Linked DNA regions of Stegostoma tigrinum. The main gene of each other region encodes a partner of the protein of the gene in region 2 in a complex. Links are inferred from orthologs where the notes say so. Each region holds a gene or a part of one and is shown on either strand. Other genes may lie near its edges. The genes, in order: surfeit locus protein 1, cmc1, smim20 and timm21.

Region 1 (8,338 bases), on a different chromosome or scaffold from region 2:
CACCCTCCTGTACTCAAGCTGCTTCAGCTCCAACTGCCTGGGACATAGACAGGCAACGCTCAGAGTCTATGTGACAGTGAAACAGCCGTGAACAACCCACCCCCACCTGAACAGAAACCATCACAAAGGAGGACAGTGTGACTCCCCTCCACCCCGAGGTTGTGGGGCCTTGGGGGGTGGTGATCAATGCGACTTAGCCTGGAGGAGGGCTCAGTGTGATCTACCCCAGGGGTGGGGGGGCAGGGGCCCACTGTTACGTACCCCGGGGACAGGGGCAGGGGCTCAGGGTGACTTATCCCGGGGACAGGGGCAGGGGCTCAAGGTGATTTATCCCGGGGCAGGGGCTCGGGGTAACTTACCCCATGGGCAGGAGTTCAGTGAGACTTACCCCGGGGGTGGGGCAGGAGCAGAGTGTGACTTACCCCAGGGGCAGGGGCAGTGGCTCCGAGCGAGTTCGTGCTTGCAGGTCCTTGATGAGCTGCAGCTTCCATTTCCGCCGCTGCACCTGAGCAGACAGTGAGAGCCTGAAAGAGCAGCAATAGGCCTCAGACCCCCATCCCCATCCCCTCCATCCATCCCTCCCAATCCCAATCCCCATCCCCTCCATCCAGCCCAACCCCATCCCCATCCCCTCAATCCATCCCAATCACCATCCCCATCCCTCCACCCCATCCCCATCCTCTCCATCCATTCCAATCCCCATCTCCCCAACCCCAGCCCATTCCCCATCCCTTCAGCCCATTCCCTCCATCCATCCCAATCCCCTCCATCCAGCCCAATCCCCAATCCTCCACCCCATCCCCTCCATCCAGCCCAATCCCCAATCCTCCACCCCATCCCCTCCATCCAGCCCAATCCCCACCCCTCCACACAACCCCCCCAACAATACCAACCCCATCCCCTTGATCCAGCCCAACCCTATCCCTCCACCCAATCCCCCCCCAACATCCTAATCCCCATCCCTCTACCCCATCCCAATCCCCATCCCTCCACCCAATCCCCTCCATCCCAACCCCATCCCTCTGCCCAATACCCCCCCCATCCATCCCAACCCCATTCCTCCGCCCAAACACCATCCCTCCATCCCATCCCATCCCCATCCTCATCCCTCCACCCCATCCCCTCCATCCATCCATCCCAACCCCATCCCTCCACCCAATCCCCTCCATCCATCCCGACCCCATCCCTCCACACAAGCCCTTCCATCCATCCCATCCCCATCCCTCCACCCAACTCCCCCGATCCATCCCAACCCCATTCCTCCATTCCAACCCCATTCCTCTATTCCAACCCCATCCATCCACCTAATTGCCTCCCACCACCCCATCCCCATCCCTCCACCTCATCCCATCCCTCCACCCAAACCTCTAAATCCATCCCAAACCCCTCCATCCATCCATCCATCCCAAACCTGCGCCAACCCACACCCAACTGTTCCCCTCTCCCGTGACCTGCATGTACCACCACTCCCAGTGGTTACCTGCCAGGTGCCCAGGCTGAAGGTAGTGACAGGAATCAGGAGCAGGGTCCACTTCAGGAATGAATCATCGGTCCCCGTGGCAACTGTGGTCGTGGAAATGTTCACCCCATTTCGTCTCTTAGCAACCCCTTCAGCAGAGACACAGAATTAACCCCGACAGGAATCAGAGGCCAAGACCTCTCCCTATCACCATCACATGATCCCCAGCCCCTCCCATCTCTGTCACCCCTCCACCCGCCCCCATCTCTGTCACCCCCTCCACCCGCCCCCATCTCTGTCACCCCTGACCCTGTGAGCTGTGTGCCTCCACCCTGGCCTCTCAAACACTCTCTGTTTCCCTTTGCTGTTCCCTTGGTGGCCATGCCCCAGCTGCTTGGCCCCCAAGCTCTGGAATTCCCGCCTGAAACCTCTCTGCCATTCTCTGCTTCATTAATGCTCTGAAAAATCAATCCTGCTTACTTGCCCTGACGTGGAGTACTGTGTGCAATTCTAGTCTCCCTGCTATAGGAACGATGTTGTGAAACTTGAAAGAGTGAAGATAAGATCTTCATGGATGTTGCCAGGGTTGGAGGGTTTGAGCGACAGGGAGAGGCTGAATGGGCGGGGGGCTATTTTCCCAGGAGCATTGGAGTTTGAGGGGTGACCTTTTTCTAAAATCATGAGGGACATGGATAGGGTAAATAGACAAGGTCTTTCCTCAGGGTGGGGGGAGTCTAATACTAGAGGGGCATAGGTTTAAGGTGAGAGGGGAAAGATATAAAAGGGACCTGAGGGGCAACTTTTTCCACACAGAGGGTGGTGCGTGTATGGAGTGAGCTGCCAGAGGAAGGGGTGGAGGCTGGTACAGTTACAGCATTTAAAAGGGTGCATGAATAGGGAGAGTTTAGGGGATATTGACCAAATGCTGGCAAAATGGGACTAGACTTATTTAGGATGTCTGGTCTGTAGGGGCGAGTTGGACCGAAGGGTCTGTTTCTGTGCTGTACATCTCTATGACTCTAATGTTAAACTCTGTTGATTGATTTTTCTGTGAATTATCTTGGTGTTTTTGCACAATGCTGAAGTTGGAATATTAATGTCAGGATTTCCAAGCTGTAACCACAGCTGCCTACCTGCAAGTTTTGCTCTGACATGGGGTAAGACCAGTTCAGTCCCAGGAAAAACTTCTGCCGAACAAGCATTCAAGAGCTGCAGGTGAAACAGAAAGCAAACATTATATAAGGCTTGACCCCTGATACTTCTCATGGGCCTCACTGATACAACAGCCAATATCTCTCTTTCAGTGTCACTTCACGGTTTAGTAGAATCTGCTCAGGAGAAGACCATTCAGCCCATTCAAATAAAGCCAGACCTTTAGACAGAACTATCTCATCACACAACAAACCTCAGCAAAATGCACGATTCCAGAAACTGGGGAAAGGCTGGCTTTTAGATTAGTGGCTGGAGGCATTGGATACTGCAAAGGCTATAGGCCCTGACAACATTCTGGCGATGACACTGATGATTTGTACTCCAGAACAAGCTGTTGCCCGAGCTGTGCTGTTCCAGTACGGGGGGGGTGTGTGGGGAGGGCGAGGGGGGTGGGTGGGGGGCGGTGTCGGGGTCTCTCACCCGGGGCGAACACCGGAGAATCCGCAGCATGTTCACCCGGAAGCGGAACTATGCCGTCACTTCCGGCTGAGCCCAACCGCGGCGCCACACTAAAGGGGCGGGGCCTCGCTGCCACGTGGTGTGTTCCTGCTCTGCCTGTGGCTTCTCAATGGTGTCTCCTGAATTACACTTTGTCTGTGTATCACACTGCAGTCCATTCGCCCCTTCCGTGTCCTGCTGGCCCTCTGAAGCTGCTAGCCTTTCAGTGTCGTGTGTGGTCAACATGTGACTGCGAACCCACAGTAGTGGGTGACCCTCAATAACTGCTGGTCTGGTTAGCAATGTCCTCATCCCAGCAGTGGAAAAGTAATCAATGAGATCATTGCTGATCTATGGCTTAACTCCATGGTACCTGCGTTTGGCCCTTTGGACCATAAAGGATGTTCTATTTTTCCATCCTCCTAATAGCTTGCTTAACAAAAATTTATCTCAGATTTTAAATTAATAACTGATCCAGCATCCACTGACATTTGAGACAGAGATTTTCCAAAGTCTACCACCCTTTGTGTATTGAAATGCTTCCTAGCATATCTCCTGAACAGAGATAGTAGGAACTGCCAATACTGGAGAATATGAGATAATCTCTCCTGAACAGCGTGGCCCTAATTCTCAACCCTATGCACCTGGCACTAGAATCAGCAAACAGTGAAAACAGTTTATCTTTACCCAGCTTGTCTTTTTTAAAAATTGTTCTTTTATTTATTCATTTTGTGGGATGTGGGCATCACTGGCTGGGCCCAGCATTTATTGCCCTGTCCGTAGTTGCCCTTGAAAAGATGTGGGTGAGCTGCCTTCTTGAACTGCTGCAGTCCATTTGCTGTAGGTTGACCCACAATGCCCTTAGGGAGGGAATTGGAGGAGTTTGACCCAGCAACACTGAAGGAACGGCGATATATTTCCAAGTCAGGATGGTGAGTGACCTGGAGGGTAACTTGAAGGTGTTGGTGTTCTCATGTATCTGTTGCCCTTATCCTTCTAGATGGAAGTAGTCCTGGGTTTAGATGCTGTCTGAGGATCTTTGGTGAATTTCTGCAGTGCATCTTATTGATAGTACAGATTGCTGCTCCTGAGTGTCTGTGGTGTGGGGAATGGATGCTTGTGGATGCAGTGCCATTCAATCAGTTGCTGCTTTGACCTGGATGGTGGCAAGCTTTTTGAGTGTTGTTGGGGCTGCACTCATCCAGGCAAGTGGGGAGTACTCCAACACACTGCTGACTTGTGCCTTGTAGATGGTGGACAGGCTTTGGGGAGTCAGGAAGTGAGTTACTTGAAGCAGTATTTCTAGCCTCTAACTTGCTTTTACAACCACTGCATTGATGTGGATTCTAGTTGAGCTTCTGATCAATGATAACAACCAGCGTGTTAATCTTGGGTGATTCAGTGATGGTGACACATTTGAATGTAATGGGGTAGTGGTTGGATTGTCTCTTATTGGTAATGGTCACAGCTTGCCACTTATCAGCGCAAGCCTGTGTATTGTCCAGATCTTGCTGCATGTGGACACGGACTGCTTCAGTATCTGAGGAGTCACGAATGGTGCTGTGCAATCATCAGCGAACATCCCCATTTCTGACCTTATGATGGAGGGAATTTCATTGATGAAGCAGCTGAAGATGGTTGGGCCTAGGACACTACCCTGAGGAACTCCTGCAGAGATGTCCTGGAGCTGAGCTGATTGACTTCTCATAATCACGACCATCTTCATCTATGTCAGGTATGATTCCAACCACTGGAGCATTTGCCCCCGATACCCACTGATTGCAGCTTTGCCAGGGCTCCTTGATGCCACACTCAGTCGAATGCAGCCTTGATATCAAGGGCTGTCACTCTCACCTCACCTCTGCATTTCAGGTCTCTTTTGTCTGTGTTTCAACCAAGGTTGTAATGAGGTCTGGAGCTAAGTATCCCTGGTGGAACCCAAATTGGGCATCACTGAGCAGGTGCTGCTTGACAGCACTGTTGATGACATGTTCCATCACTTTATCTGTTTATCTTTTCCTGTTAATATCTTGAAGACTTCAACTATATCATTCGTTAGCCCTCCAAATTCTAGAGAAAACAGATATAAATTGTGTACCTCTCCTTGTAACTTAACCCCTGAAGTCCAGGAGTCACTGTGTAAATGAAGTTTGGAAGTCCATGTACACATTAACATCATTATCCTCATTACCCATTCCCTGTTATCTGATCAAAAAATGTCAGGTTAGATAAGCACTATTCACCCTTAACAATTCTATGTTGCCTTTCCTCAATGACCCAACATTTGCCCAATTCTGTCCTGAACAATCGTAGTTTTCCCACCCGTGAAGTTAAAATGACCAGCCTGTAGTTGCTGCACTAATGGTGTAACATTTACAATTCTCCACCATCCCTGACTCTGAAGAAGATTGACAATTTATGACCAGTGCTTCTGCAATTTCCTCTCTCACTTACCTCAGTGTCCTCAGAGCACCTCACCCAGTTATGGTACCTGAACAACTTTAAGTGCGGACTGCCTGTCCAATCCCATCTCCTTATCAATCTTAAACCTTTCAAGTGTCTGAACAATCTCGTCCTTCACTATGATTGGGACAACCTCTTTTCTGGAACACAGTGCTGCTACATGTTCATTTAGCACAAGCCAGGACTATTGTCTCCATGTGTAAATCCTCTTTTTAGTCTCTTTTACTTTTTGTGTCTAGAGAAAACTTCTGCATTTATTTTTTTGTTCACTATCAGTCTCTTCTAGTACTCTTTGTTTGTTTCTCTAATTTGTTTTTCCAGTTCTCCCTGAACCTTCTACCCAACACTGACAACGACTCGTACAGCAAAACATGATTGTTATTAAATTGGTATATGTTGGCAGTTAGTTGGTGTGTCACAAATTATTTTCAATCTATTTGCGTTGCGTTATTCAAAAATAGTGTGCCCAACCTTTTCAAGCAACACATTTATTTGGCAATGTTCTCAGATAGAATCAAGAGACAGAAAAGCATGGAACATGAAACAAAATGAACAGTTTCAGAAGCACCGGACTCAGGTGCCTGTCATGATAAAGCAGTTTCCTTGGCCCCTGTTTATGCTAGAATGTGAAACATACATTCAACACAACTTCTTAAACATTTTAAATTTAATGAACTTTCCTCTCAGTGATCCTTCAAATGATAGATACACACTCAGTTATTTATTTTATTAAGTTGCACTTATTGTTGCTGGAAGTGACCAGAGGAGATGCTCCTCTTCAGAGTTTTGTCCTTTGTTCCTGGTTTGTCTGAGTGGAAGGGAATGTAGCCTTACTCCATCTCTCCAGAGCTGGGGTTCAGTGGGGGACAAACTGTTTGGTTTCACTTTTTACAGTTTATGACATTTGTGTTTCAGTTCTTGGTGCTTGAGGTTCAGAGTTTGGGTTCATGGTATTTTGGATTCACTGTTTTCCTTGGCTCTCTGGTACGTGTACAAAGCAGAACAGAGCATTCAGAAAACTCCATTTTACTTCAGCTGACCTTTTGAAAATAAATAAATGCAGATAATTTGTTTTTTTGCACACTAGTTTGATGCCTTCAGGGTCAGTGAATGCCTGGCCTTCAGGAATGCAAGTGAACTATTTAGTTAAAATCACAAGGAAGACTCCCTGACATGGAGCAATCAGACTGGAGCAACATCTTCAGACCAGTGTGTTGGGGAAAGCTCTGCCTGGAATAACACAGCTTGACAAAAAAGGCAAGTGAAGAATGTTCTTCACTTGCTCCATATTAACCCTCTTGTCAGATTAATCCTCTTCACATCACCGTAATGCTGCCCTGTGTTGATAATTATTGATCTCGTGTGCATTGAGAAAAATGTTTACAATGAGAAAATGGCACCGTTTACATTTCACTCACAGTCTAACAGCGTAATCATTGAGCTGGAATGACAGCTGCTCCCCAAGTTGTTGGATTTGAAAGTTGAGCTGCTGCAGATTTGTTAATATTGCCACTTCAGGCCTTTCAGATGTGATTACCTCACCACAATCCACAGCTTGACAAAAATATCAGTACATAGAAACCTGTGTGAATGAACAGAGTTAGCAGGAACTGCAGATGCTGGAGAATCTGAGCTAACAAGGTGTAGCGCTGGATGAACACAGCAGGCCAAGCAGCATCAGCTGAACAGGAAAGCCGACATTTCAGGCCTAGACACTTGTGAAGACCTGTCAGCCTTCCTGCTCCTCTGATGGTGCTTGCCCTGCTGTGTTCATCCAGCTCTATACCTTGAATGAACAGAATAACCACATTCAAAACTAATACCTCCCGACCAAGAATACAGAGGAAGAGTAGTCATGAGAGTGCATATGGAACTGTATCCCAGTGAGAGTCAGTGTGTGGGAACTGTACCCCAGTGAGGGTCAGTGTGTGTGGGACTGTACCCCAGTCAGAGTCAGTGTGTGTGGGACTGTACCCCAGTGAGAGTCAGTGTGTGTGGGGCTGTACCCTAGTGACAGTCAGTGTGTGTGGGACTGTACCACAGTGAGGGTCAGTGTGTGTGGGACTGTACCCCAGTGAGAGTCAGTGTGTGTGGGACTGTACCCAAGTGACAGTCAGTGTGTGTGGGACTGTACCCCAGTGAGAGTCAGTGTGTGTGGGACTATACCCCAGTGAGAGTCAGTGTGTGTGGGACTGTACCCAAGTGAGAGTCAGTGTGTGTGGGACTGTACCCCAGTGAGAGTCAGTGTGTGTGGGACTGTACCCCAGTGAGAGTCAGTGTGTGTGGGACTGTACCCCAGTGAGGGTCAGTGTGTGTGGGACTGTACCCCAGTGAGAGTCAGTGTGTGTGGGACTGTACCCCAGTGAGAGTCAGTGTGTGTGGGACTGTACCCCAGTGAGAGTCAGTGTGTGTGGGACTGTACCCCAGTGAGAGTCAGTGTGTGTGGGACTGTACCCCAGTGAGAGTCAGTGTGTGTGGGACTGTACCCCAGTGAGAGTCAGTGTGTGTGGGACTGTACCCCAGTGAGAGTCAGTGTGTGTGGGACTGTACCCCAGTGAGGGTCAGTGTGTGTGGGACTGTACCCCAGTGAGAGTCAGTGTGTGTGGGACTGTACCCCAGTGAGAGTCAGTGTGTGTGGGACTGTACCCCAGTGAGGGTCAGTGTGTGTGGGACTGTACCCCAGTGAGAGTCAGTGTGTGTGGGACTGTACCCCAGTGAGGGTCAGTGTGTGTGGGAGCTGTACCCCAGTGAGAGTCAGTGTGTGTG
Region 2 (7,759 bases):
GTGACCAGTGGTCCTTGGCTGTGATCGTGACCATCTGGTTCTTTGTTGACAAAGCCAAAACGTTTTTCATGAAGTATTTTGTGATTATCAGCACATTTGTGCTTGGTAGCAAACTTATCAAGCATGAATTAGTTCATGTCTATCAGCTACATGGGGAACAGGTCTGGATTTTTACCCTAGGTGCCAGGCAGCTGACAATGGGAACTTTAATGCTTTCTTGTTTACAGGATTGTAATTGTAAATACCAGTAACAAATATCCTCAAAAATGCCATGATAGAGAATCACATGCCCAACGTGTTCTAGATATTTTCTGATCAACTTTTTCAGAGTTAGAACCAACATATCCAGCTTCTGCACTGATTGTTTCAGGAGATTGAAATGCTTTGAGATCAGTTGAAGAATGCGACACACATCAAGTTCGAGAATGGAGGTATTTAGTTGGTCAAAGTAATTGATTTAGAACACTGTGCAAGTGGTCACCTTAGGAGGGATATTTGAGAGCGAGGGGCCCCAACCTTTTGTAGCATCATCCCAGTACAGCAAGAAACATCGTAGTAACACTAAGCTGTTGGCTCAATGTCACACAATTTAGCCAATAGTTCAAGTGAGTCCAAAGAACTAAATATGAAAATTGAGATTTCTGAACTCCACAAAAGGATGAACTAATAATTATTCACTAAATTGCCCTGAATGTTGTGTTTTGAAGGAAATCTCAGTCTGGAGTGCTGATTGCAAACTCATTTAAATCAAGTGCTTTCATTTGGGAAAAAAAAGCTTTTTATTGAATGATTTGGCAAACTTTTTCCTTTTCATTCATCTTACCCACTTTCCTGCAATTATTTGCAGAAATATAGTTTGTGGTGACCTAGATACAAGGGTTGCTAAGAAACAGCAGACTAGTAAAGAGTGTCTACACATGACTCCTCCTCTAATAATCTCTACCATACCTCTAAAACAAGGAGAAAATGTAAAATACATATTCTACACGTGGGAAAAATTGAATTTTTGCTGCAAAAAAAAATTGATTTTGAAGTGAAACACATTGCAGTCAGAGTTATAGCTATCATTTGTGCCACTTCAGGAACCAAAAAGGTTTACAGTGGTAAATGAAACATTTTGGCTTTTTAAGGTCAGTACTGGTTCTTTGATGCAGCAATTTAAAAAAAACTCACTTCTTAGCTGTCTTGTCTTATTTTTCACTCCCTCATCTTTTAAAAACTTTTTTCTTAATTGACACAGTGATATTTGTCTCAGAGTACTCCTTTCAGCAAGACATTTCCTACTCCAAAAACTCAAAGGAAGAAACTTCACCAACCTTCCCCTTAATTTTCAACTGTTAGCCCTGATAATTGACACTCATCCTGGGGAAGTTTTTCTGTATTCACCTGGTCAAACCCTTCATATTTAAACATCCTTTCTTGTTAGCCTGCTTTGTTTTTGTAAAATAATTATAGTAGCTCAAGTCCCTCTTCTTGTCAATTAGGGCATAACCTGAGATGATTACCCATGTATTTTACACTCCTATTTATTAAATCCAAAATACTGTTGCCTTCTTTTTTGTTAGTGTCAATCCACATTTACATATTCAAAGAATTTTGAACACCATGTCATTTTGCTAATCTGCAACTTGAAACAGTTTGCCATTTGGTGTATATTCCACTTTGTTTTTCCTCCAGAACTGCATCATTTCACTTTTTGATGGTGAACTGTACCTTCCAATAGCTTCTTGTTTGCCTAACCTGTTTACATCCCTGTGTCTTTTATAATTTGCAAAACACCACACTCCCAATCCATGCGTATATCATTAGCAGGTTTTGACACTACGATCTCAAAATCCAGATAATTTAGATAGGTTATGGTCAGCCAAGTGGGCTCAAATTATTTTTGAATCCAATCAATATTCAACATCCTTAATCTTTTACAAACACAAAGTATTGCAAATGTTGTAAATGTGCATGTGTTGGAACGAATCCCTATACTTCACAGCTCTGGCAGCATCTGTGCAGTGCAGGTAGAGCCAGTGGCCAGAATTTTTAAATTATTATGAGGTCAGGATCAAAAGAAGGTAGGCACACAATTTGGCACTGCTGGTGCTGGCCTTCATACCGGTTTGCTGTAATAATCCTGCCTTTAGCACTAATTTTCAATGATGACGGCTTAGGTCTTGATTCCTGGCAGGCAGTTAACTATCGAGAATTACAGGATCTATTAACGGCTGGCTGTGCGCTGACTGGGATTCTCAGTCAGCCATGCCAGTGGCGCATGTCAGCCTGGCTTTCTCCTTCTGTCTCTCTATCCTCAGATCAGTAGCTCTGACCTCAGCTGGTATGGCTGCCTCCCACTGGTTCTCCTGCAAAGGGAGTGTGCCTGTTGTCCCCGATTTAACAATAAGCCACTGCTTGATCTTGAATTAGCTACAACTTTGAAAATCCCAGCGGATAGAAATAAAACAACACGGATCCAGCCCACAAATCTTGATTAAAAAATACTGTCAAATATTTCTCATCATCCATCAGAACTAGGAAATGTTTTTAAGCAAGTGTAAGGGTGAGAGGTGAAAATTGACCAAAGAAAGAGCTGTAATTGCGTGGAAAACAGGAGAGATTACAGAGACTAAAAGAGTTGGTGGTGTAAGACAAAGACTATTAATGGGACAAGAAAGAAAAGATTGGCTAGATTTTCCAAAGTAGCAATGATGCACAGTTGAGGGAAAAGAATGACTTATTGGAAGCACTGATATGTCTTTAGAACATATGTGAAAAATAGTGAAACTGAAAAGTTAGCTTAATGTCTTTACAGGAAGTAGGATGTGATAAAGTATAGTCAAATCAACTGTGGAAGTCAGTGTACAATAAATATTTGTTGATAATTTATCCCTGAAATAGAAACAGAGATGTTAAGGAAATGGTTAAGAAAGAATAGGAAATGGAGCATGGAAGCAAAGTTGAAATTTTCCAGTTTATTGTGAAGAAACAGCACTGATGCAGTCAATGATGTACAGAAAAAATTTGAGGGGCCCTGATTAGGAATGATATAAGGAATAGTTATCAAAGGAAATATATGTGTATCTAAGATCCATGTGTGTAATGAGTGGAATTGAAGGAGAAGGTCTTCAAGTGAGAGAAATTAGCCAAGTGAAGTTCAATGGGCATTGGTTGGAGTTGAAAGATGGAGATACATAAAGATATACATTTCTGATGAGAAGGAGACAGTGCCAGGAATTTGGAAACTGTTGGGAAATCTTTCACCCTACTGTAGACTTTCTCTTTCATCTTGTCCCCACCCAATCTTTAAAAATACTGACAATGTATTACATTTCTAACTTTTCCCACTTTTGCTGAAAGGTCAACAGCCTGAAATATGAAGTTTTTTCAGGCTGCCTGTCCTGCTGAGTGTTACCAGCATCTACTCTTTTTTCAGATGTACGACATCTGTTTGTGTTTTGCTATCATTATATATCTATCATACAGTAATATAACAAGCAAACAGACTCTTCAGTCCAACTCATCCATGCCTACCAGACATTCCAATCTGACCTAGTCCCATTAGGCAGCATTTGGACCATATCCCACTAAACCCTTCCTAATTATATACCCACTCAGATGCTTTTTAAGTGTTGTAATTGTACCTGCCTCCACCCCTTCCTCTGTCTGCTCGTTCCATACACACGCCATCCTCTGCGTTCAAAAGTTCTCTCTCAGGTCCTTTTTAATTCTTTGATCTTTCATCTTAAGCCTATGCCATCTAGTTTTGGACTCCTAGCCTGGGGAAAAGACCTTGCCATCCACCCTAGGCATGTCCTTATGATTTTCTAAATCTCTATAAAGGTTACCCCTCAGCCTATGACACTCAAGGGAAAACAGTCCCAGCCTATTCAGCTTCTCCCTCTCAAAACCTCCAGTCCTAGCACCATCCTTGCAAATCTTATTTGGAACCCTTCAAATTTAACAGTATTCTTCCCAAAGAAGGGTAGACAGAATTGTACGCAGTATTCTAAAAGTGGCCTCACCAATGTACTGTACAGCCACAACATTATGTCCCAACTCCTGCACTCAAAGTTCTGACCAATTATTTGGAAGCCAAAGCCAAAATTGGGTAAGCTGTCCGTGGACTAGTCAAGCAATAGCTTGACAAAGTTATACTCACAGAATCATACCTTGCAGACAAAGATCCAGACACTACCACTACCACTACCATCACCTTCACCTTCACTTGATACGTCCTGCCCACTGACAAGACTGACCCTCTGGAGGAAGTGATTTACTCTGGAAAGCCTCAACATTGACTCCAGATAGCTTCAGGTTTAACATGGGCAAGGTAATCTCCTGCTGATTACCAAATACCGTCCACTCTCGGGTAATGAATCACAAACCTCAACGTTGTGCAACATTTGGAGGAAGCAATGCACATGGCAAGGGCGCCATATGAGCGTGCCTTGCCAGATCCCGAGTTGTACGTCTCACAGGTTAACCACCCCCTCATTGCCGAGTCTTTCAATCGCTCCATTCCCTTCTATCCAAAAGAAATTTAAAATTAACTCGAAGCAGTTTCCTTTAAATAAGTACAAACGCAGCAGGATCAGAAAATCAGCCATAAACCAAAACAGACGGCAGAGAAAACCATCAAACAGCCGGAAGTGGGTCCACGTTACTAGGGTGAAAGGTGAAGGGGAGGGGCCTGCTGTTACGGAGCGGTCATGGATCCCGGTGGTGAAGGTAAAGCCGATTCTTCCGTGTGATCTGAGCCCTGTGGGAGCGACCTGGCTCTGGGTATAAACTGACAGGTCTGTCACGGTGAATTAGGGCGATATTTTCCTATAGTTATGGAAGATAAGATCCGATAGCCGAATCTTTAAATATCCATCGCGCCAGCACACGGCATTGGCGTGTGTGATGGGAAGGACTGCCCTCACTTACCATCCTGCACCCTTCCGGCCTTTCCTCATTTATCCCGCACACCCCCAGTGTCTTCCTCTTTCACTCCCTACCCGCCATCGAGGGAGGGCCCTCATCCCCCTGCCCGCTGCCACCTCGGACTGCCAACCCACCCCACCCGGCATATCCTCATCCCCCATCTCAGGACTGACCCCATCCCCTTCTTCTCACTCCCGCGCTGGAACTGTCTTCATTTCAGTCCCCACTGGGGACTGTACACAGTTCTCTGTGTATTGATGCTCAAGTTGCTGATGCAGTTAGATCATGTATCTTCCTGGTTGAGGCTTACTCATGAATGAAAAGGAACGAGCATTTTTGGTAATTTTTTTGAATCTTATGATGTCCTAATCTTTATAATCAGTGGAATAGTCGTGAAGTCATTTCACTGATATAAAATAGGAGATGTTACACCTCAGTGGGAATATTGTGTCGAATTCTGGGTATCCTTCCCATCTTTAGGAAGAATATGAAAGCTTGGGAATGAAATTTCATTTACTTGGCAAATTGGTGAACTGGGACTATCTTCTTTTGAAATAACAAGGTGTAGAGCTGGATTGACACAGCAGGCCAAGCAGCATCATAGGAGCAGGAAGGCTGACATTTGGCTGCTTGGCCTGCTGTGTTCATTCACCTTGTTATCTCGGATTCTGCAGCATCTGCAATTCCTGTTATCTCTCTCTTCTTTTGAGGTGTTTTAAGAGGAGTTTAGATTTAAGTGTTCCCTGAGGGGTCTGAAGAAAGCAGAGAAGGACAACTTTCTATTTGCGGAAAGCTGACAACTAAATTACGTCAACTTAAAGTGTTTAGCAAAATAACCAGAAGCAGTATGAGAAACATCTTTGTTGTACCATGGCCCAGATTTCCACTAGCTAGACAGTTGTTACTCCAGTGTTGATGGGAATTGACCTTACAGAATTCCTATCATAGCAGACATTGAAGGAATTGCCTGGGAAATTGAATTTTCCATCAGGCACTTTCTCTACACCTGGAGCCCTCCAAAACTCTTCATTCACATTGGAGACTTCAGAGAGTTTCAATGAAATTAAGTAAAGTAATTATCCAGGAAATGTTAGAGCATTAAATAGATGACCCGAAGTAACTATTCACCTGATCCCACGTTTACCTCAAGCACCCTCCATTACACCTCTGTTACTACACCTTTCACCCTCAATCCTGGAACAGACACCTGCGGGGACCTGACTACCATCCTATGACCCCAATGCCCTTTCCTCCCCATTTGGACTGGACCTGACCCTATATAATGCCCCACTAGGACTGGCCCCTCCACCTGACACTTGCTCACCTTGTTAGTCCCGACTTAACATAGCACTAGCAGACCCCGCCACTCACCAGAACTGCAGACCAAACCAGAAACTCCATGACACACCAGGCCTGATGCTACCCCTCACCTCCCCTCCCAACTCCATGAACCAATTTCTACAACATACTTGACCTAACCTAACTTAAATACTACATCACTTAAATTGCACCCTCACCAAGTAGCATTTTATCTGACACTCTGCGCTGATTCTTCATGATTTTCAATAGTTTGGCTGATTTCTCTATCAATAGCTCCTCTCAAATTTCCTTAAATAAAATGAAAGGCCATTAGTGGGTTAGCCTGACACAAGGGCAAAAGAAATGGAAAAATACCAAAGGGCGAAAAGACATGAAAAAGGCCACACAAGTAACAATGTGAGAAATATTAGAGAAGGGAAGAAAAAAGCAAACAAGCTGAAAATATGGCAGGTTGTTTTTATTCTTGAGATATGGGCAATGTTGACAATGCCACATTTATCACCAACTCCTAATCTACCTAAAGTACTGCTAGACTTTCTTGAATAGCTGCTGCTGTTTAATTAGAGTTCCTAAGGTAACTGAGGAGAGAAGGGGAGAATTTTGATCAAACAATAATGAAGGAATAACAATATACAAGTCAGGATAGATTGTGTCTTACAAGTTAGTAGTATTCCTTTGATATTGATGCTGTTGCCTTTTTCTATGTTTGAGGTGTGAGATTGAGCTGTGTCATCAAACTCTACTAGGTGAACAAGACACAGTCCAGATACAGTGGAGGTAATGATTATTGACTTGCTAGTTATGGATACTGATCAGTAATAATAAAAACTGTAAACACTCAGTGGGCCTGGTAGCTTTTGTGGTGAGAGAGACCAGAGTTAACATTTCAAGTCTGTGACCTTACATCAGATTTTCTCTTCCTACAGATGCTAGAAATACACCTCAGTTTTTCTCTTTCCACAGATGCTAGAAAAGCTACGGAGTATTTTCTGTTTCAGATTTTCATCATCCAAAGTATTTTGCTTTTATGTAGTAGTAGTTACACTGAAAACAATGTTAATTTCAAGCTTGGGTTAGTATTCCAATATGATTCCAACAAAAAACATTATGCGCTGTGGTTCTTCTCAACCTGTCTATAGTCTGTGACACAGTTGGTCATGCCATCTTTCCAGCTGCACTCAAGAGGTTGAGATTGTGATGGTTTGGCTCCATTTTGACTTGTACAATCAAAACTAGAATATCTATTTCAATTGTTTCTCCTCTCACTTATGCAACATTACCTTGGAGACCCTAGGAACCAATCCTTAATCTTTATCAAAATCCTTGTTTTCATGTCAATGCTGATAATACTTAGCTCCACGCCGCCACTATCTTTCTCGGTCCAACTGCTTTTTTCTGAATTACCAGACTGCTAATCTGACCAAATGAGCAGGAATTTCGTCTAACTAAATATTTGGAAGATCAAAGCTGTCTGAGGCTGAACCAGACTTTTTGGTTATAGAATTGTGTGACGTTATTTTCACCT
Region 3 (8,270 bases), on a different chromosome or scaffold from region 2:
CAACCTCATCGCTCCGCCCACAACCTCCATAGCCAGCAACCCCAGAGAGGACAGCCACACTGAGCCCTGCTGAATCTTCACCATCTGCCCAGACCTCCCACTGACTGAGGACGAACGGTCAGTCCTAAGCAAGGGGCTCACCTTTGTCCCCCAACAACCACACATGAACGAATACCAGTCACGTTTGGACAAAGGCGGCGGAAAAACTGCTCTTCGCCTCCACGCTTACTTCTTCAACCAGCAGCCCAACCCTCCCGCCACTGACCCCTTCACCCACCTCCAACACAAGTCCTCCTCCTGGACACCACCCCCAGGCCTCCTACCCTCCCTCGACCTCTTCATCTCCAACTGCCGCCGAGACATTAGCCGCCTCAACCTCTCCACCCCTCTCACCCACTCCAACCTCTCCCCCGCAGAACGGGCAGCCCTCTGCTCCCTCCACTCCAACCCCAACCTCACCATCAAACCTGCAGACAAAGGTGGTGCAGTGGTAGTATGGCGCACTGACCTCTACATTGCCGAGACCAAACGCCACCTCTCCGACACCACCTCCTACCGCCCCCTTGATCATGAACCCACCCACCCCCCCCCACCACAGAGCACCAAACCATCATCTCCAACACCATTCATGACCTCATCATCTCAGGGGACCTCCCACCCACAGTCTCCAACCTTATTATTGCCCAACCCCGCACGGCCCGTTTCTACCTCCTTCCCAAAATCCACAAACCTGCCTGCCCTGGTCGACCCATTGTCTCAGCCTGTTTCTGCCCCACCGAACTCATCTCCACCTATCTGGACTCCATTTTCTCCCCTTTGGTCCCAGAACTCCCTACCTACGTCCGTGACACCACCCACGCCCTCCACCTCCTCCAGAACTTCCAATTCCCTGGCCCCCAACACCTCATTTTCACCATGGTCGTCCAGTCCCTATACACCTGTATTCCGCATGCAGATGGCCTCAAGGCCCAACCAGTCCCCCTCCACTTACACCCTCATCCGCCTAGCCGAACTCGTCCTCACCCTCAACAACTTCTCTTTTGTTTCCTCCCACTTACTACAGACAAAGGGGGTGGCCATGGGCACCCGCATGGGCCCCAGCTATGCCTGCCTCTTTGTAGGTTACGTGGAACATTCCCTCTTCCACACCTACACAGGCCCCAAACCCCACCTCTTCCTCCGTTACATTGACGACTGCATCGGCGCTGCCTGTTGCTCCCCAAAGGGGCTCGAACAGTTCATCCACTTCACCAACACCTTCCACCCCAAACTCAAGTTCACCTGGGCCATCTCCAACACATCCCTCACCTTCCTGGATCTCTCAGTCTCCATCTCAGGCAACCAGCTTGTAACCGATGTCCATTTCAAGCCTACTGACTCCCACAGCTACCGAGAATACACCTCCTCCCACCCACCCTCCTGCAAAAATTCCATCCCCGATTCCCAATTCTTCTGCCTCCGCCGCATCTGCTTCCAGGATGAGGCATTCCACTCCCACACATCCCAGATGTCCAAGTTCTTCAAGGACCGCAACTTTCCACCCACAGTGGTCGAGAACACCCTTGACCACGTCTCCCGCAACACATCCCTCACACCCCACCCCCGCCACAACCGCCCAAGAGGATCCCCCTTGTTCTCACACACCACCCCACCAACCTCTGGATACAACGCATCATCCTCCGACACTTCCGCCATCTACAATCTGACCCCACCACCCAAGACATTTTTCCATTCCCACCCTCGTCTGCCTTCCGGAGAGACCAATCACTTCATGACTCCCTTGTTTGCTCCACACTGCCCTCCAACCCCACCACACCCAGCACCTTCAGTTGCAACCACAGGAAGTGCTACACCTGCCCCGACACCTCCTCCCTCACCCCCATTCAAGGCCCCAAGATAACTTCCCATATTAAGCAAAGGTTCACCTGCACATCTGCCAATGTGGTATACTGTATCCATTATACCCGGTGTGGCTTCCTCTACATTGGGGAAACCAAGCGAAGGCTTGGGGACCACTTTGCAGAACACCTCCGCTCGGTTCGCAATAAACAACTGCACCTCCCAGTCACGAATCATTTTAACTCCCCCTCCCATTCCTTAGATGGCACGTCCATCATGGGCCTCCTGCAGTGCCACAATGATGCCACCCGAAGGTTGCAGGAACAGCAACTCATATTCCGCTTGGGAACCCTGCAGCCTAATGGTACCAATGTGGACTTCACCAGCTTCAAAATCTCCCCTTCGCCAACCGCATCCCAAAACCAGCCCAATTCTTCCCCTCCCCCCACTGCACCACACAACCAGCCCAGCTCTTCCCCCCACCCACTGCATCCCAAAACCAGCCCAGCCTGTCTCTGCTTCCCTAACCTGTTCTTCCTCTCACCCATCCCTTCCTCCCACCCCAAGCCGCACCTCCACTTCCTACCTACTAACCTTATCCCACCTCCTTGACCTATCTTCTCCCTACCTATACTCTCCTCTCCACCTATCTTCTTTTCTCTCCATCTTCGGTCCGCCTCCCCCTCTCTCCCTATTTATTCCAGCTCCCTCTCCCCATCCCCCTCTCTGATGAAGGGTCTAGGCCCGAAACGTCAGCTTTTGTGCTCCTGAGATGCTGCTTGGCCTGCTGTGTTCATCCAGCCTCACATTTTATTATCTTCAGTGACCTGGCTTCGTGGTCGAGAATTCCACAGATTCATCACCCTGATCAAAGGCAACTCTCCCCTTTCAGCCACACGTCCTAAGGCCGTGACCCTCACTCTGATGAAACATCATCAAATCCACAGGGGGTGAGGGGAGGGGGACACAGCAGGAAAGGGTGGGAGTTAGAGCCGGTAACTAGCCGTATCCGCACCGACCATCCACCTCCGCCGCAGATTGTTTCTCTCACTCACTGTACTGCTCGGTGTAAATCAGCGGCCGAAAGTAGATGGGGTAAAAGGCGGCTCCCAGCAGAGCGGCGAAGCCACCGAACAACAAAACCACCCGCGCATGCCCAGCCATGGCGCACGCTGACGGATCGGAACGGACGACTCTCCCACCCCGACAATTGCTTCCTATATCCGTCCCGGTACGCGCGTGCGCGAAGTATCATGTGACCGGGTGCGCGGCCGCCACCTTTGAGACGGGCAATTCCCACCGAATGGCATCTTAGCGCACTCTGCTCCACTGCGCACGCGCTGAGCCCAGTCTGCTTCCTTTCTGATTGTTGCTATCTCTTATTCAAATAGTTTGCCAATTTCTCATCCGGTGGCTTCATGTCATGAAGCATTTCTTGCTGTGGATACTTCATACGTTCAGTTCTCAGTCACCGAAAACAACAATGCCTGGCTCCTCCTCCTGAGGAATTATAATTAGATTTTACTGTCAACTGTTCTGAAGTACAGGGATGCAGGAGTACAGTGAAAAGTGTACAAAGTCACTATTCCCAGCATCACAGATAATGGGAACTGCAGAATCTGGAGAAACTGTGATAACAAAGTGTCGAGCTGAATGAACACAGCAGGCCAAGCATCATCTTAGGCACAAAGGCACTCGGTACAACATAATAAAATGTGAGGCTGGATGAACACAGCAGGCCCAGCAGCATCTCAGGAGCACAAAAGCTGACGTTTCGGGCCTAGACCCTTCATCAGAGAGGGGGATGGGGTGAGGGTTCTGGAATAAATAGGGAGAGAGGGGGAGGCGGACCGAAGATGGAGAGAAAAGATAGGTGGAGAGGAGAGTGTAGGTGGGGTAGGTAGGGAGGGGATAGGTCAGTCCAGGGAAGACGGACAGGTCAAGGAGGTGAGATGAGGTGAGTAGGTAGGAGATGGAGGAGCGGCTTGGGGTGGGAGGAAGGGATGGGTGAGAGGAAGAACAGGTTAGGGAGGCAGAGACAGGTTGGACTGGTTTTGGGATGCAGTGGGTGGAGGGGAAGAGCTGGGCTGGTTGTGTGGTGCAGTGGGGGGAGGGGATGAACTGGGCTGGTTTTGGGATGCGGTGGGGGAAGGGGAGATTTTGAAACTGGTGAAGTCCACATTGATACCATTGGGCTGCAGGGTTCCCAAGCGGAATATGAGTTGCTGTTCCTGCAACCTTCGGGTGGCATCATTGTGGCACTGCAGGAAACCCATGATGGACATGTCATCTAAAGAATGGAAGGGGGAGTGGAAATGGTTTGCGACTGGGAGGTGCAGTTGTTTATTGCGCGGTCCCCAAGCCTCCGCTTGGTTTCCCCAATGTAGAGGAAGCCACACCGGGTACAGTGGATGCAGTACACCACATTGGCAGATGTGCAGGTGAACCTCTACTTAATGTGGAAAGTCATCTTGGGGCCTGGGATAGGGGTGAGGGAGGAGATGTGGGGCAAGTGTAGCATTTCCTGCGGTTGCAGGGGAAGGTGCCGGGTGTGGTGGGGTTGGAGGGCAGTATGGAGCGAACAAGGGAGTCACGGAGAGAGTGGTCTCTCCGGAAAGCAGACAGGGGTGGGGATGGAAAAATGTCTTGGGTGGTGGGGTCAGATTGTAGATGCCGGAAGTGTCGGAGGATGATGCGTTGTATCCGGAGGTTGGTGGGGTGGTGTGTTAGAACGAGGGGGATCCTCTTTGGGCGGTTGTGGCGGGGGCGGGGTGTGAGGGATGTGTTGCGGGAAATGCGGGAGACGTGGTGAAGGGCGTTCTTGACCACTGTGGGGGGAAAGTTGCGGTCCTTGAAGAACTTGGATATCTGCGATGTGCGGGAGTGGAATGCCTCATCATGGGAGCAGATGCGGCGGAGGCGGAGGAATTGGGAATAGGGGATGGAATTTTTGCAGGAGGGTGGGTGGGAGGAGGTGTATTCTAGGTAGCTGTGGGAGTCGGTAGGCTTGAAATGGACATCAGTTACAAGCTGGTTGCCTGAGATGGAGACTGAGAGATCCAGGAAGGTGACGGATGTGCTGGGGATGGCCCAGGTGAACTGAAGGTTGGGGTGGAAGGTGTTGGTGAAGTGAATGAACTGTTCGAGCTCCTCTGGGGAGCAAGAGGCGGCGCCGATACAGTCATCAATGTAACGGAGGAAGACGTGGGGTTTGGGGCCTGTGTAGGTGTGGAAGAGGGACTGTTCCACGTAACAACAAAGAGGCACGTATAGCTGGGGCCCATGCGGGTGCCCATGGCCACCCCCTTAGTCTGTAGGAAGTGGGAGGAATCGAAAGAGAAGTTGTTGAGGGTGAGGACGAGTTCGGCTAGGCGGATGAGGGTGTCGGTGGAAGGGGACTGGTCGGGCCTGCGGGACAGGAAGAAGCGGAGGGCCTTGAGGCCATCTGCATGCGGAATGCAGGTGTATAGGGACTGGACGACCATGGTGAAAATGAGATGTTGGGGGCCAGGAAATTGGAAGTCCTGGAGGAGGAGGAGGGCATGGGTAGTGTCACGGACGTAGGTAGGGAGTTCTGGGACCAGAGGGGAGAAAATGGAGTCCAGATAGGTGGAGATGAGTTCGGTGGGGCAGGAGCAGGCTGAGACGATGGGTCGACCAGGGCAGGCAGGTTTGTGGATTTTGGGAAGGAGATAGAAACGGCCCGTGCAGGGTTGGGGAACAATGAGGTTGGAGGCTGTGGGTGGGAGGTCCTCTGAGATGATGAGGTCATGAATGGTGTTGGAGATGATGGTTTGGTGCTCGGGTGTGGGGTCATGATCGAGGGGGCGGTAGGAGGTGGTGTCGGAGAGTTGGCGTCTGGCCTCGGCGATGTAGAGGTCAGTGCGCCATACTACCACTGCGCCACCCTTGTCTGCGGGTTTGATGGTGAGGTTGGGGTTGGAGCGGAGGGCTGCCCGTTCTGGGTGGGACAGGTTGGAGTGGGTGAGAGGGGTGGAGAGGTTGAGGCGGTTAATGTCTCGACGGCAGTTAGAGATGAAGAGGTCAAGGGAGGGTAGGAGGCCTGGGGGTGGTTCAAAATCTCCCCTTCCCCCACCGCATCCCAAAACCAGCCCAGTTCGTCCCCTCCCCCCGCTGCACCACACAACCAGCCCAGCTCTTCCCCTCCACCCACTGCATCCCAAAACCAGTCCAACCTGCCTCTGCCTTCCTCACCTGTTCTTCCTCTCACCCATCCCTTCCTCCCACCCCAAGCCGCACCTCCATCTCCTACCTACTAACCTCATCCCACCTCCTTGACCTGTCTGTCTTCCCTGGACTGACCTATCCCCTCCCTACCTCCCCACCTACACTCTCCTCTCCACCTATCTTTTCTCTCCATCTTCGGTCCGCCTCCCCCTCTCTCCCTATTTATTCCAGAACCCTCACCCCATCCCCCTCTCTGATGAAGGGTCTAGGCCCGAAACATCAGCTTTTGTGCTCCTGAGATGCTGCTGGGTCTGCTGTGTTCATCCAGCCTCACATTTTATTATCTTGGATTCTCCAGCATCTGCAGTTCCCATTATTACTCGGTACAACATCTTAGGTTTTCCTCATTTTCCGCTTGGGGACCCTGCAGACCTCAGGACTCAATATCGAGTTCAATAATTTTAGGGCCTAAACTCTCCCACCTCCTCATCCTCTTCCTCTACCCCACACACCAAGTCTTGTTATCACATAGCTTTCCATTACACACTACCTATTGTTGGTTACTAACTGTCCCCATTAGCAGCTATTCACCCTCCCAGCCAGATCATCATCAACTTCTTCGTCTATCCAACAGCTCTTCTCTCTCTTTGGGCTCTATCCCTACTTATAGTTTACTGCCCCTCCCCCTCCCTATATTCTGCATTTAATCGTTTCCTAGCTACCATCAGCTCTAAGGAAGGGTCACTGCACCCAAAACATTAACTCTAATTTTTTTCTCCACAGATGCTGAGTTTTTCCAGCAACTTCTGTTTTTGTTCCTGATTTACAGCTTCCACAGTTCTTTTGGTTTTTACTCAATATGATTGAATTTGTTATAGTAGATGGGAGAGACTAGGACCCATGGGCACAGCCTTAGAATTAGAGGGGGTAAATTTAAAACGGAAATGAGGAGACATTTCTTCAGCCAAGAGTGGTGGGCCGGTGGAATTCAGTGCCACGGAGTGCAGTGGAGGCCAGAACATTAAATGACTTCAAGGCAGAGATTGACAAATTCTTGATCCCACAAGGAATCAAGGGCTACGGGGAGAGCGCAGGGAAGTGGAGTTGAAATGCCCATCAGCCATGATTAAATGGCAGAATGGTCTCGATGGGCCGAATGGCCTTACTTCCACTCCTATGTCTTATGGTCTTATGACACAAAGATAGCAAAGAAAATATGTTGTAAAGAAGGCATCAGGAAGTTGCAGATAGATATAAATAATTTGAGTGAGTGGGCAAAAATCTAGCAGATGGAATCTAATCTGGGAAAATATGAAGTTGTTCACTCTGCTGAAAACAGTAGGCAAAGCAGAATATATGTTTAATGGCAAGTAACAGGGAGGCAATGGTGTAGTGTTATTATTACAGGGACCGAGATAATGGTCTGGGGACTGAAATAACTCCATGAAGGCCAGTATCCCACCACCAAGTAACCCTTTATTTGCACATGGAGAGTTCTTGACATTGGTCCTCAGAGCCAGTCCTCTGAGTGTATAGGATGTCTGATCTCCCTGTTTATAAATGTCAGCCATGCCTCTGATTGAACCAGGCTAATAGCAGCCAACCTGAGTTAGAATCACGCCATGGCAGATAATGGAATTCAACTTCAATAAAATCAAAGTTGTCCACTAATGATCTTCTAATGTTGGAAAAGAAAACTGCCATCCTTATCTCATCTGGCCGATATGTGACTTCAGACCCTCAACAACAATGTGTTTAACTCTTACCTGCACTCTTAGTGGCTAGCAAACCATTTAGTTCAAGGGCAATTAAGAATCATCAACAAATTCTCGCTCAGCTAGTGAAACCTACATCCCATGAATGAATTAAAGAAAAACTGCAGAATCCTGAAGTGCAGAAGGATTTGGATGATCTGGTGCATAAGTCGCAAAACCTTAGTGAGCAGGTACAGCAAGAAAGACGATGGGGTGCTGTTGTTTATTTCGAGAGAAATCAATGACAAAAGTAAGCAATTTATGAGTCAATTACATAGGACATTGGTGAGACCACATCTCAAATGCAGTGTGTGGCTTCATCTTCTTATGAAAGGAGAATGTAACTGCATTGGAGGCAGTTCAGAGGTGGTTAATTAGATTGTTATCTAGAATGAGTGACTCACCTTTTGATGATAAGATGGACAAACTGGGCTTGTTTCCACTGGAGATTGGAAGAATCAGGGTGCCTGGATTGAGGTGTATAAGATC
Region 4 (7,788 bases), on a different chromosome or scaffold from region 2:
TCGCCCCGCAACCCTCCTGCGTTCCAGCAAAAACAAACCCAGTATAGTCAGCCTTTCTTAATTAAAATTACACCAAACTAGGCAACATCCTGGTAAACCTTTTCTGTGCCCTCTCCAAACATCCACATTCATCTGGTAGTGTGGTGACCAGAACTGTTCACAATATTCCAAGTGTGGTCCGACTAAAGTTCTGTAAAGTTGCAGCGTAACCTGTCTGTCCTTATACTTAAAACCCCTTCCAATAAAGGCAAGAATGCCAAAGCCTTTTTTACGACCTTATCAACCTGTACCGCCACCTTCAGTGATCTGTGGACCTGCAGATCTGTCTGCAATTCAATACTCCTAGGGGTTGTGCTATTCACTGTATAATTTCCACCTATACTTGACCTTCCAAAATGTATCACCTCACATTTGTCCAGATTAAAGTCCAGCTGCCATTTTTCTGCCCATGCCTCCAACTTATCTATATTCTACTGTATCCTCTGACAGTCCTCATTGTCCACAAATCTACCAATCTATGTATCATCCGCAAACCTACAAATTGGACCAGCCACGTTTTCCTCCAAATCATTTTGGGGCAGCATGGTGCCACAGTAGGTAGCACTGCTGTCTCACAGTGCCACAGTTCCAAGTTTGATTCCAGCCTTGGGTGACTGTCTGTGTGGAGTTTGCATATTCTCCCAGTGTCTGCATGGGTTTCCTCCGGATACTCTGGTTTCCTCCCACAGTCCAAAGATGTGCAGGTTAGGTGGTTTGGCCATGCGATATTGCCCGTAGTGTTCAGGGAAGTGTAGATTAGGTGGATTATAGGGTAATGGGTCTGGGTGGGATGCTCTGAGGTTTGGTGTGGATTTGTTGGGCCAAAGGGCCTGTTTTCACACTGTAGGGATTCTATGATTTTGGTCAATCTCAAACAGAAGAGGTCCCAGCACTGATACTGCACAACCCTCCATTCCAAAAAGCATCCTTCCACTGCTACCCTGTGTTTCCTATGACTAAGCCAATTCTGTATCAGTCTTACCAGTTCACCCTGATACGGTGTAACATTTTTTTTTTAAACCTTATCAAAGGCTTTGCTGAAGTCCATGTAGACAACATCAACAGCTTTTCCTTCATCAGAGATAATGTGAACTGCAGATGCTGGAGAATCCAAGATAACAAAGTGTGAAGCTGGATGAACACAGCAGGCCAAGCAGCATCTCAGGAGCACAAAAGCTGACGTTTCGGGCCTAGACCCTTCATCAGAGAGGGGGATGGGGAGAGGGTTCTGAAATAAATAGGGAGAGATGGGAAAGCGGACTGAAGATGAATAGAGGAGAAGATAGGCGGAGAGGAGAGTATAGGTGGGGAGAGGATAGGTCAGTCCAGGAGGACAGACAGGTCAAGGAGGCGGGAAGAGGTTGGTAGGTGGGAAATGGAGGTGCGGCTTGAAGTGGGAGGACGGGATAGGTGAGAGGAGGAACAGGTTAGGGAGGCGGGGACGAGCTGGGTTGGTTTTGTGATGCAGTGGGGGGAGGGAATGAGCTGGGCTGGTTTTGGGATGCAGTGGGGGAGGGGGAGATTTCGAAGCTTGTGAAGTCCACATTGATACCATTGGGCTGCAGGGTTCCCAAGCGGAATATGAGTTGCTGTTCCTGCAACCTTCGGGTGGCATCATTGTGGCACTGCAGGAGGCCCATGATAGACATGTCGTCTAAGGAATGGGAGGGGGAGTTAAAATCGTTCACGACTGGGAGGTGCAGTTGTTTATATTGTGAACCGAGCAGAGGTGTTCTGCAAAGCGGTCCCCAAGCTTCCGCTTGGTTTCCCCAATGTAGAGGAAGCCACACTGGGTATAATGGATACAGTATATACTACATTAGCAGATGTGCAGGCTTCCTAAACAACCACAGGAAGTGCTACACTTGCCCCCAGACCTCCTCCCTCACCCCCACCCCAGGCCCCAAGATGACTTTCCTTATTACATCTGCTTAATAAGGAAAGTCATCTTGGGGCCTGGGGTGGGGGTGAGGGAGGAGGTCTGGGGGCAAGTGTAGCACTTCCTGTGGTTGTTTAGGAAGGTGCCGGTTGTGGTGGGGTTGGAGGGGAGTGTGGAGCGGACAAGGGAGTCACGGAGAGAGTGGTCTCTCTGGAAGGCAGACAAGGGTGGGGATGGAAAAATGTCTTGGGTGGTGGGGTCAGATTGTAGATGGCAGAAGTGTTGGAGGATGATGCGTTGTATCCGGAGGTTGGTGGGGTGGTATGTGAGGTCGCGGGGGATTCTCTTAGGGCGATTATGGCGGGGGCGGGGTGTGAGGGATGTGTTGCGGGAGACACGGTCAAGGGTGTTCTCGACCACTGCAGGGGGGACATTGTGGTCCTTGAAGAATGCTGCCATCTGGGATGTGCGGGAGTGGAATGCCTCATCCTGGGAGCAGATGCGGCGGAGGCGAAGGAATTGGGAATAGGGTGCTGGAATTTTTGCAGGGGGGTGGGTGGGAGGATGTGTATTCTAGGTAGCTGTGGGAGTCGGTGGGCTTGAAGTGGACATCAGTTTCTAGCTGGTTGCCTGAGATGGAGGCAGAGGGGTCCCGGAAGGTGAGGGATGTTTTGGCCAAAGATATCTGTCAGTGCTCCAGCAATTTGTTCTCTTGCCTCTCTCAATATTCTAGGATAGATCCCATCAGGACCCAGGGACTTATCTACCTGAATACTTTTTAAGACGCACAACACCTCTCTCTTTTTAATAGCAACTTTGTTTAGAAACTCAACACTGCCTTCCCTGAGATTATCCTGAACCAATTCTTTCTCTTTGGTGAATACTGACACAAAGTATTCATTTAGGTCCTCATCTACTTCTTCAGGCTTCACAGATAGATTCTCTCCCTTGTCCTTGAGTGGGCCAAACCTTTCCCTGGGTACCTTGTTGCTTTCATAGATGTATGAAAAATTTTGGGATTCTCCTTAATCCTGTTTGCTAACAACTTTTCATGACCCCTTTTAGCCCTTATAATTCCTTATTTAAGTTCTCTACTACTTTTCATATGTACTTCAAGGGCTTCATGAGTGCCCATCCACCTAGATCATACGTATGCTTCCTTTTTCTTTCTGACCAAGATAATAACATCCCTGGTCATCCAAGGTTCACATAACTTTCTTTATTCTTTCAGGAAATGAGGGCATCGCTGGCTTGGCAGTATTTATTGCCCAGAGAGCAGTTAAGAGCCAACCACACTGCTGTGAATCTGGAGTCACATAGGCCAGACCAGGTGAGGATGGCAGATTTCCTTCCCTGAAAGACATCAGTGAACTAGATGGAATTTCCCTAACAATCAACAATGGATTCAGTCATCATGAGATGTTTAATTCCAGATATTTATTGAATTCAAGGTCCCCTGAACGTTATCTGGGTCTCTGGATTAACAGTCCAGTGATAATACCACTAGGCCATTGCCTCCCCTATGGCCATTGCCATAGCTATATGTCATTCGCGCAGGAATGTGCTTCTCCTGAACTCTTATCAACTGCCATTTAAAATATTCCCAAATGTCGATGTAGATTTACCCTCAAACAGCTACCTCCAATCCAAATTCACCAGTTCCCGCCTAATACTGTTGTAGTTCGCCTTCCCCCAATTTAACACTATAAGACATAGGAACAGAAATTAGGCCATTCAGCCCATCTAGTCTGCTCAAACATTCAATCATGGCTGATAAGTTTCTCAACCCCATTCTCCCACTTCCTCCCCATAACTATTGATCCCCCCAACAGTCAAGAACCGATCTATCTCAGTCTTAAAGAAACTCAATGACCTGACCTCCACAGCCTTCTGAGGCAGTGCATTCCATAGATTCACCACTCTCTGGCTGAAGAAGTTTCTCGTTACCTCCATTCTAAAACCTCTTCCCTTTACTCTAAGGCTGTGCCCTCAGATCCTGGTCTCTCCTACTGATGGAAACATCGTCCCAACATCCACTCTGACCAGACTTTTCAGTATTCTGTAAGTTTCAATTAGATCCCCCTGCACCCTTCTAATCTCCGTCAAGTATAGACCCAGAGTCGTCAACCATTCCTTCAATATACTTTTCATTCTTTCACACGGGAAAGCTGTTATCCCCATCCACGAGTAACCTTTGGCCACCTGATGTGGAGGGAGAGGGGCAAATTAAAGGATCATTTGAGACCTGGGCCTGGTCCAAATGGCCATCAAAAGTCCAGACAGCACACTGTCAAGAGGGTTATTAGCTCAAATGCCTGTTTCTATCTAGAGGTAAGTATCTGTCATGATGAAAGGTCCACAAAAGGTCATATGGTCTATTCCTGCTCCCAGTTATTACTTCTTATTTACTGCCACCAAGTCCACACCACTAGATGTGTCCACAAGTGCAACTGAGATCTTCCACAACCACTGGAAGGGCAACAATTGATGGCCAATATTAGGAATTCCATGACGTTATTGCCTTGTATTTCTGTGCACTTTTACGAATTTGGTTTTGGATAGCAACATTGAACATCTAATTGGTGTGTATTATAATGAGTTGGGATTGCATTATGTTTAAGAAATTGGTCTGTGCCTTAGAAGGGTTAACGACTTGAAACAGACATCCTCTATTTCAGTAGCAGATATGTGCCCCGCTGCAACAACTGAAACAACCAATGAAAAAGGTAGGCGGAAATCGGGGGAAAGCAGTATGGATTTTGTAGTTTTTGTCGAATCGTGTTCTTGCAACCAATAAGCAGGCGGAACTACATGTCCCACCGATCTATTCAGACGCTGATCCAATGGAAGAATGACAGCGAGGTAGAAAGTATAGTTTCTACAATAGAAAAGAGAAACAAATGGCTAATGTTTACTTTTTGCGAGCGGTGTGCACACACAGAAGAAGGCTGGTGTTCCAGTACAAAACCCAATTCTCGCTACACTGTTCCGCACGACCCCAAATCTGTAACTCGTTTCGTGAGAGGCCTGGAATTGTAGGAGTCACTACTTGTCCGCTGCAAAAGCAGCACTCACTTTACTTCGTTAGCACGGTTCCCTGGCGGTGCATTTTCACAGAGACTAAATTGAGAAATCCAGCTCCGGGGAAGAAGCAAGAAAACAAAGTATCATTGAGAAAGAGTACCCCGCCCGCATCAACAACTCAGAAAGGTAAAATTGTTCCAAATTGTCCCTTCGAACTAACACCCTGTAATCTGAGTATTTAACACTGCTGTCCGAGATCAAGGTCTGTACAAAACTAAGTTATTCCACTTCCTTACCTTAGCCTCCACAGTTAGCTCAGAATTCAAAGTTAAAACCAATTAGAAGAGGAGTGCAATGAGTGATATCGGGAAAAAAAAGTCTGACATAGACGTACCAAAATTCAAAGAACTTGAATTTGTTTAGCACCTTCTTATTGTCAACTATCCCACAGTGTTCCAGGTGGTTCATTGGAGTTTACCAGACAAAGTAAAAAGTTGCCCATATGTTGGCAGCAACAGTGAGACAAATCCAGCCTGATCAGTTATAATTCTTGTCAGCCTAGCTTCAATCATCAGGTTAAAATGTGCTATTAAGTGACACTTGTACTGCAAAACGTGCTCATTTTGTGTTCCACTGGGGCCACTTGTTCCTGGACCTCATTGCAGCCTTGGCCCAAAAGTGGACGAAAGAGCTGAATTCCAGGATTGAAGGTGGAAGTGGCTGCTACTGACATAGATACAGCTGAAGTTGTGACACTGAGGAGCTATTAGAAAAAATGATGCCAATGGGAATCAGGGAGAAAACTCTTCACTAACTGGAGACTTATCAAGTACAGAGAAAGGAGATTGTTGGAAGCCAGTTATTTCAGCAGTAGGAGCTCTTCAGGTCAGTGAGAAAAATCCAACTATCTTCAGCAGCTCCATCCATTTTAGGGTCAGAATATTTGACAATTATTTTGTTTTCTGGTCCTCTCGCAATTATTCAAACAATGAAGTCATCTGTGCTTTCATGCAGTTAGTCAGGTAACATCCAAGTTTGGATTGAAAAGTGTCAAGAAAAAGTTGTGAACAGAAATGCCCATCCCCAAAAAATGGATCTAACAACATCCACTTCACATTCATTGGTATTTCCATCGACCTACCCCTCATGATCAATATCATGGGTGTAGAGTTTATCATTGACCAAAATGTGAGACCAACATAATGAATTCTGTAATTACAATACTATTTGAAGGTATGATGACTGTAGTGATTACACATTTTCTAATTTGTTAAATTCTATCCATCAAGCCAAAATCTAATGCACTGCACTCACCTTACTGTGATAGTACAGAGATAATGGGAACTGCAGATGCTGGAGATTCCAAGATAAGATTCCAAGATTCCAAGTCTAGGCCCGAAACGTCAGCTTTTGTGCTCCTGAGATGCTGCTTGGCCTGCTGTGTTCGTCCAGCCTCACATTTTATTATCTGTGATAGTACAGATCCCAGTTGTTACATTTTCACTGGGACTAAATTGAGAAATCCAGCTCCGGAGAAGGAACAAGACAACAAAGTATCCTTGAAAAAGTGTGCCCCATCCTCATCATGCTTGCATGCAGCTCCAACTACACTCCAGACTTTACACTATCCAGGGCAAGGAAGTCCAATTGATCAATTGCTCAGACACCACTTGAAATGTCATTCATACCAGCAGGGCTGCAGTAAGTGGTATCTACCAGGTTCTGTTCAGAAACTTACCAAGATGTCTTCAACAGCATTTTGAAAGCCTTCCATCTTTACCATCTGGAAGAACAAAGGTATCTGGCAGACAGGAACACTGCCAAGTTCCCCTTCTATGTCACACAAGGCTCTGACCTATTAGCCTATCCGTCATTGTCACTCGGTTAAAGTTTTTGAACTTATCTAACAACATTGTGAGCATACCAATGCTACGTGACCTGCAGCAGCTCAAAAAAGAAATTCCCCACAAGCAAGGGTGACTAGGTAATGGGCAATAAATGCTGGCCTTTCCAGTGATGTCCACAACCTGTGAATTTTTATTTTAGATGTGCGTGAAAGAACATCAATTACAGCCCTTGCTGCAGTAGATCAATGTGAGAACCTAGTTTTAAACTGCAAAGTGCTATTTACCACAATGAGATGGTTGACTAGTTATTCCTAATGAATTTACCTAATCCCTGAACAACATGCGCCATGGGGAGAAAGTTGGAAAAATCACGAGAGATGGCCAGCAAGTTGAGGACAAAGTTCCATTTTCCAACTAAGTGTTGAATGATGAGACAAGATTCTTGCGCTTGAGTGATGAGAGGCATTTTAGTGCATATCTCCCTATTAATTATTCTATCCTCAGTATGGTGAAGTTTCCCATTCTCCTGCCTAACAGACAAAAACTAGATGTTGACAAATTTCCTGATATAAAAGCCAGAGCCGTTCCCTGGTGAATCTATCTGGCCTCTTGCCCATCTAAACATTCATCTTTGACATCTTTGGACATGCTCCATAGGCAATGCACACTCCCACCCTGACTACAGATAGAGATCTGACGTTTACCAGCGTCAGTGTATCATCTGATCCATAGCATATTTCTGCACTTCAAGCCTGTGTTTTGGAGCATGCTGGCATACTTCATCTCAATGCTGTTGCCAAAACACTCTGCGCACAAAGGGGCACCCAAGTCACAGATTGGATCAGGCTCATCAAAGGGCAATTTGCTAGCTCTCTTGGGTTAACTTGCATTGCGCTTACTTAAATGCTCGTGGAATCTCTGCCTTGCCTTAATTTTAACGCTTTGTCCCCTCAGCCAGAACTTAAGGCGCACAGTAATTTTATCTTGCCTTATCTCAGA

The links.
Region 1: cmc1 (region 2) and surfeit locus protein 1 share a complex: the UniProt entries of both Homo sapiens proteins name them as parts of the MITRAC (mitochondrial translation regulation assembly intermediate of cytochrome c oxidase complex) complex. The link is inferred for Stegostoma tigrinum from reciprocal best matches to the Homo sapiens genes CMC1 and SURF1.
Region 3: cmc1 (region 2) and smim20 share a complex: the UniProt entries of both Homo sapiens proteins name them as parts of the MITRAC (mitochondrial translation regulation assembly intermediate of cytochrome c oxidase complex) complex. The link is inferred for Stegostoma tigrinum from reciprocal best matches to the Homo sapiens genes CMC1 and SMIM20.
Region 4: cmc1 (region 2) and timm21 share a complex: the UniProt entries of both Homo sapiens proteins name them as parts of the MITRAC (mitochondrial translation regulation assembly intermediate of cytochrome c oxidase complex) complex. The link is inferred for Stegostoma tigrinum from reciprocal best matches to the Homo sapiens genes CMC1 and TIMM21.

The regions. Positions count from the first base shown.
Region 1 is NC_081382.1:44,016,166-44,024,503, forward strand, and holds the start of surfeit locus protein 1, read right to left. Parts: upstream 3,048-8,338; 5' UTR 2,931-3,047; coding exon 2,865-2,930; intron 2,669-2,864; coding exon 2,593-2,668; intron 1,609-2,592; coding exon 1,481-1,608; intron 506-1,480; coding exon 423-505; intron 38-422; coding exon 1-37. UniProt on the Homo sapiens protein: Component of the MITRAC (mitochondrial translation regulation assembly intermediate of cytochrome c oxidase complex) complex, that regulates cytochrome c oxidase assembly.
Region 2 is NC_081355.1:62,163,166-62,170,924, reverse strand, and holds the start of cmc1 (COX assembly mitochondrial protein homolog), read left to right. Parts: upstream 1-4,619; 5' UTR 4,620-4,697; coding exon 4,698-4,716; intron 4,717-7,759. UniProt on the Homo sapiens protein: Component of the MITRAC (mitochondrial translation regulation assembly intermediate of cytochrome c oxidase complex) complex, that regulates cytochrome c oxidase assembly.
Region 3 is NC_081354.1:89,190,422-89,198,691, reverse strand, and holds the start of smim20 (small integral membrane protein 20), read right to left. Parts: upstream 3,069-8,270; 5' UTR 3,004-3,068; coding exon 2,895-3,003; intron 1-2,894.
Region 4 is NC_081358.1:59,525,502-59,533,289, forward strand, and holds the start of timm21 (mitochondrial import inner membrane translocase subunit Tim21-like), read left to right. Parts: upstream 1-4,719; 5' UTR 4,720-4,818; coding exon 4,819-5,128; intron 5,129-7,788. UniProt on the Homo sapiens protein: Participates in the translocation of transit peptide-containing proteins across the mitochondrial inner membrane.